Danio rerio: one gene and its partner. The protein of the gene in region 1 interacts with the protein of each later gene in a biochemical or structural test. Links are inferred from orthologs where the notes say so. Each region holds a gene or a part of one and is shown on either strand. Other genes may lie near its edges.

What was found.
Region 2: the proteins of ptch1 (region 1) and shha are reported together in a solved structure, tested with the Homo sapiens proteins (5 studies listed by BioGRID and IntAct, with this or other methods). The link is inferred for Danio rerio from reciprocal best matches to the Homo sapiens genes PTCH1 and SHH.

Annotation. Positions count from the first base shown.
Region 1 is NC_133183.1:32,041,616-32,045,971, reverse strand, and holds the start of ptch1 (protein patched homolog 1), read right to left. Parts: upstream 2,859-4,356; 5' UTR 2,470-2,858; coding exon 2,302-2,469; intron 1-2,301.
Region 2 is NC_133182.1:41,234,903-41,237,472, forward strand, and holds part of shha (sonic hedgehog protein precursor), read left to right. Parts: intron 1-1,057; coding exon 1,058-1,319; intron 1,320-2,570.

The sequences.
Region 1 (4,356 bases):
ATTTTAAAAATAGCCTTGAAACATGCATACATTGTCATATGGCAAGCCATTTAAACATCTATTCTTTAATACTATATTTACATAACAAGTACTTTGTAATTACTAGTGAATAATCTAATAGTGACTGGCTAGTATCTTTTTATGTGACAGTTTCCTTGTAATAACTATTTAATATAATAATTTAGGGTCACTATTTCAATAGTATGTAACTACCCTGTTATAACCAGTGTCAGTGGTCTCCCAAAATACTCAGACATCAGTCCAACTTCAGTTTCATCTGTAACAATTCATTAGTTGCTAGTATCTACCATCACTTACTACAGTCTATTCCATTTGCACCTGTATTATATACTTGTGTTTATTAGTCACTAGTGTACAATCAGATTCATTTGTCAGTAAGATTTTAGCCAAAATACATAGTCATTCCTGTAACTAGTTTAACTGTATTTATATATATATATATATATATATATATATATATATATATATATATATATATATATATATATATATATATATATATATATATATATATTTTTTTTTTTTTTTTTTTTTTTACTAGTTCAAATGACTTATTTAAAATGAGCTGACTCAATGCAACTCTTGGGGCTTTTTTTGGGACAACTTAATAGTTTTATGTTCAATCCACTTTATTTTTAATAAACAATCAAGTAAACTTAAACGAATTGTGTTGGAACAACATGAAGGAATAGCGTGAAACCCTGCATTTTTTACATTGTAAGTTGTCTTATAAATGCCTGAAAAGCTGCTATGTTCACTATATGGAAACTCGTAGTTCATATTGAGCCACTGCCACCGATAATTTAAATACATATTTGTCAAAATTTTGATTGTGACTTAGCAAAGGAGTAAGAACTATGGCAAGCTGAATAAACTACTTAGGATAATCTTAGTTTTTTATTAACACTAAAATTATATATATATATGTATATGTGTATATATATATATATATATATATATATATATATATATATATATATATATATATATATATATATATATAACACTGGTAAAATATATTAGTCTAATATGAATCACAAAAGCAAAACACATCTCTGTGGTAACTGCTATTTGGCCAAATATTAAGTTGAGTTTTTATCCCCTGGATAACCAGTAGACCAGGATGACACATTCCGGTTCACACCTGGTGTTTTAATCTGTTTAGGCTTTTTCAATTGCTTTTGTGATATTTTGAGTGTGTGCACAAATGAAGGTTTTCTGAACTTTCAATCTAATGTTACAAAAAATATTGAACAATTTAGCAGAGAGAGGCTACCAAAAATGATACAGAGCAGCAGCTTTCCTTTCTGCCCTCATAGCTGCAAATCTACACAGAGCGCTGTTGATGCCATTGTGCTTTTTTGCCTTCGACCCAAACTTACTGGAAAAGGCAAAGTTTAAATCCCATCTGGCTCGTGTATGTCAGAAACACATCAAAGTGTTTAAACATTAGGCCAATTGGCAAAAGAGCAGGTCATGTTTTGTGGCTGTTCCAAATAATTCAAACAACCCAACTGAATGTGTTTTTAACAACCTCTAGAAGAGGTTGAAAGTGCTTGCTTCCATTTAGACAATTGAATTTAACATTTTCTGCTAGTTGTTGTATCAAAAAAGCTGCACACCATGTGTAAAGAGGATCTTTCTGCTAATGAAATTGGACACACAAAAACAACTACTGCCAAGTTGTAATGAATGAATGTGAAAACAGCTTGCCATACTACTACTCCTATTCTCTCGCTGTGTAGTATAATTCAAATGAGTTGTAGACCCACGCACAAACTATCAGACATTAAACTGACTATGGCTACAATGTGACAGACTGCATCCTTTGGACACTGTAGCACAGAAACAGGTTACAATATCCAAAGCCGGAGATGCACGTGGGTCGCATAGCAGAAGGGACGCGATGTGATGCGATTTGGGAAGTGCTGCAGCCATCACAGAGGGAGTTACGACAATATTTGTGAACGGAAGAGGGCAGCCACATGGATCGTGCGGGACGAAAACTACTCCCCGTGTAGATCCTATCTGAGGGGGGCTTCAATCAGTCGGTCAGGGCGAACTTGACCAACAAATCTGAAGAGCCTCCGCTTCACTTTCAAAGCTCAGCTTCGCTTCTGACAGATAGCCTAGGTTAGGTTGGTCGGAGCGCAAACGCTGCGGCTACAGGTTGGTCCCGCATCGGTCCCGTGGCTATCCCGTTACCTAGCGACTTCACTAAAGTTGAGCACTTTGTCAGCGCATTCCCAACAAAATCCAACAGGGCAAGCATAAAAGCACCTCTGATATCTGCTCCAGCGCAAAGGCGGCATCGCAATAGCTCGGCCGCTGCAAATACTCCAAATCCGCCGCGGCGGTCCGATAGTTGCCCCTATTTCTCCGCGTTACCCTCGGCCGATCGGGGTCTCTGTTTTCCTGCTCGGAGGAGACATTAACAGCCGAGGCCATGTTGCAAGGTCTGCGCCGAGCGTCTCGGTATCCGCGCTAGTGTATTTCCCCGCGAGCGTTTAGTGATATCCGAAGAAAACCAAGTTTGTCTCTCGTTGATCCCAGATCCGCGAAGCACTTCATACTCCTGTTTGAGACGGCGAGTCAGAGTCTGCGCCTTCCATTGCAACATTTCGCGAATCTGGAGGTCTCCAACAATTGCCCACTTTCACGGCGTCCGCTGGAAAGTTCGCGCGATCAGTGGATGCTCTGCAAACGTCGATCCCTCGGTGGCTGAAGCATTTCTGTGATCTATGTGGTCCCTCCTCAGGCCGCGCGACAAGGCGATCTCTGGGAGATTCAATAGATGTGAAAAAAGATCACTCTCCATTCGGAGACAGAGGAGGAGGGGCGTGGCCAAAGCGCTCGAGAGCCCGCCCCTGGGGCTGTCAGATGGCCGGGGTTCCTGCGCTCTGATTGGTTCCAGAAGGGCAAAAATTACTCAGCAAACACGACTATTATTAGCTGCTTAGCAACAGCTCACCAAAGTAGAGAGACCACCCAAGCCGAGAGCCCTCGTGTGTGCATCTCAAACTTCAGGGGAGTCTTAAAGAAGCAAAGCCCACTTTCTGCAGGGTCCGACCGAGGCGCGCGGGCCAACAAGAGCAAGAGCGCAGTCCGACTCCGAGCGCGCGGAGGAAGCGGAGAGAGCAAAGAAGAGGAGAGTTTATTTCTGGAGACAGGACAGACACAGCACTTTCTTTCTTTCTTTCTTTCTTTCTTTCTTTCTTTCTTTCTTTCTTTTTTTCTTTCTTTCTTTCTTTCTTTCTTTCTTTCTTAATTTCTTTCTTTCTTTCTTTCTTTCTTTCTTTCTTTCTTAATTTCTTTCTTTCTTTCTTTCTTTCTTTCTTTCTTTCTTTCTTTCTTTCTTTCTTTCTTTCTTATTGTTTGTTATAAGATATATTACATTTATTTATCTTATATTTTATTTATATTATAAAGGCTACTATTATTCTAAATTATTTTTCAGGCTTTTCTTATATATTACATTTATTATATTTATTTTAAATTTATATATTAAACTTTTTAAAATTTGTATAAATTATTTATAAATATTTGACATATTTAAATTATATGCATATACATAAGCTTCATTAGTTAATACACTTATTAACGTGAACTAATAATGAACCATACGTGTACTGCATATGTTTATCATAGTTTAACATTTACTAATGCATCAACATCCAAATTCATGCTGTGTACAGTGAACAATAAACAACTTTATTTTTATTAACCAATGTTAACAAAGGTTTAAAAAAATAATACTGTAATATATGTATTATCCATTGTTATGTTAATAAACACATCAACTACACTGTTAACCCTTAATGTAGATTATGCAGTAAATAACTGTAAAATAGCCAGTGTTTTGCTGTAATAAAAGGAAACAGTATTTTACTGTAAAAGGAGCAGGATTTGTATGAAATTTTGTAGTGCAAAGAATAAATTACAGTAATTTACTTTATGTACCCATTACAGATAATTACTGTGATAATAAATGATAAATTACTGCTCAACCACCATTATTACCCCATGTACTCTGATGCTTTATGTTGCTATATATACAGTATATATATATATATATATATATATATATATATATATATATATATATATATATATATATATATATATATATATATATATATATATATTCTGTTCAGTTTTGGTATTTGAATGGTCAGTATTGAGGAGAAAGTGACACAATGCATTGATAAGCTAAATTTCTCTGCAGCCATCTCTGTGTTTTCTTTGGTTCCTTTTATGTTTTTAACATTGAGTATCAGGAGTCAACCAATGTCAATGTCACAGAGCTAATTAAAAGGTAAAGATATCGACGAGATG
Region 2 (2,570 bases), on another chromosome or scaffold:
GTCTTCACTGCTGACATGAAAATTAGAGGGTCAAGCAGATCAGTAGGAAGTGGGGCGATAGTCTGCTGGAGAAATTTATGTGGATGTTAGAGGCTAAGGATGTGTGTGTGTGTGTGTGTGTATAAGGGGGGAGAGTCAGAGAAAGCGAGCAAGTGAGTCAAAGCTAGGAGGGTATGTGTGTGAATTATTACAGGTATTAATTTGGCTTAGTGTCACAATTTGCCAGCATATTTTGAATAGATTTTATATAACCTCTGAAAGACCGTCAGTTAAGCAATCACATCACGTCCCTTGAGCAAACCTGTGCTGCAAGAATAATGAGTAGTTGCTTCTCCTCTTGGACGCAGTGAAAGAGTCTTTTGTGGTGTTTTATTTGACATATTGGTTAAGTGTTGGGAAGAGTTGTCCTGGTGAAGGCCAAGCATCTCAAAGCAAGGTCCCGGGAAAGGTTAGCACCCAAACATGGCCTGATATTCCACAGTTCATACCTGCACCTCAGTGAGACCTACTGCTCTAAATCTCAAGGTTATAATAATGAACACCACTAACCGAATTACTTTTTTTTTACCCAATTTCATTGTATGCATTCTGGCCTTTTAAAGCAAAGACATGGCCCCTGATTCAGTCACACCTTTCCCTAGTTGGATCTATACGTTTTAGATCAGTGAAGCGAATGCAGTAACTTATAAATTTTTCATTGAGCTCCTTGAGCAGATTATCCTTGCATGCAAGGCTGAATTATTTCAAGTGTAAATATGGGTTTCTCATAGTCACATTTGTCTGGATGTATCTATTAGAAAACATACTGGATTAATGATATCTAAATCTCTGATTCCTGAGATGGTTGCTCAGAACTGACTGACATGGCTGAAAATGATAATAAGATCAGCTAGTTTATGACACCCTTTAAACTAAACTAACTAAACTTGTCTGGATGTAAACAGATAATCAGTAAGCAATATAATTTGGGAATTGTTTGGAGATTTAGGATGAATTAATAGAAACGTTAAACAACGGCTAATTTCCTTTTGCCCCATTCTTTTTGTCTTTCTATTAGAGATGCAAAGACAAGCTGAACTCGCTGGCCATCTCTGTAATGAACCACTGGCCAGGGGTTAAGCTGCGTGTGACAGAGGGCTGGGATGAGGACGGTCACCATTTTGAAGAATCACTCCACTACGAGGGAAGAGCTGTTGATATTACCACCTCTGACCGAGACAAGAGCAAATACGGGACACTGTCTCGCCTAGCTGTGGAGGCTGGATTTGACTGGGTCTATTACGAGTCCAAAGCCCACATTCATTGCTCTGTCAAAGCAGGTAAGACCTCTGGAATGACAAAAAAAAAAAGAAGGCACAATGCTTCACACTCCCTCTCATGTTAAAACAGGAGATTTTAAATTAGAAAATGCTTTTATATATTTGTATTTATTTATTTATTTTTTTTACTGAAGTCTACTAAATCATGAAATATATGTTATTGTAAGAAATCTCTAATGCATATATTTATTATTGTAAATAGGCGATACACAGATCTTACAAAAATATAAAGGTTATATTTCTATCTTAGGACCTGCTTTTAAATTTCTACACCTTAAGAAAGTCTTTTGAAAGATCATTCTGTTAAAACGAGTCACTTAGAAATACTTGCCAGGCCATATAATAACTGATCTTACATCGCCCCTCTCTGTCTCTTTGAAGGAAGCGCTTATCACAAGATCACTCTCTGCTCTGCAGCTCAATGCGCATTGCACAGACACTAGAGATGCGCCAAAATCTAGGGTTTTACACACGAAAATTCGAAAGTAAAACAATTTGTGTTTATTATTATTGGAGCATGTGACATTTAGTGCGCTATTACGGTGTAATTCTCGTCTGGATTTTTTGTCTAATAAACGTATTATTATTGACGGAAGCTAAATTAGCTGGAACGCATTGACAATCCCTCATAAGCTTTCGCCAGATCTTATCATTTAAATTCTAAACACATTTACAAATACATTACCGGCTTCGACGAGAACCAGCTCCAACCCGTTCGCCAAATCTGTTTCTCAATTGTCACCATCTTTATTTCATGCCCTAGAATCTTAAGAGAGGATTAGACGAGAAGTCCATTCTATAGCTCTGTTTACCGACCCAAGAGATCGGAATGTGAAGAGATCCCACAAGGCCCGAATTATTGTCATTAAGCTTGACAACGGAGAGCATGATGGTTTGAGGAAAATGAAAGGAAAGAAGAAGAGGGCATTGATTGACTACCCCTAGCATTTCTAATTTACATTCAAATCTACACCATTAGAGCCTTAGAAAAAAAAAGTGTCTGGGGCTGAGCAAATACTATTTGAGCCTGCTTGGGGTTTTTCTCATTCTATAAGTGTGAATTGTCACATAGAAGTTTCTGCACCTGAGCAAATATGAAAGAGGCGCAAGGGAAAGGCAGAAGTGTCCTTTTCCAAGAGTGCTCTGTACACAAGCTGCATTAGAATGACAATGTCCGGCCTTTATTGGTTTTTAATTAGAGCAGTCCAGGCTCTTTCCTCCTTCATCTCACACAAAGGCATTGAAGTTTTT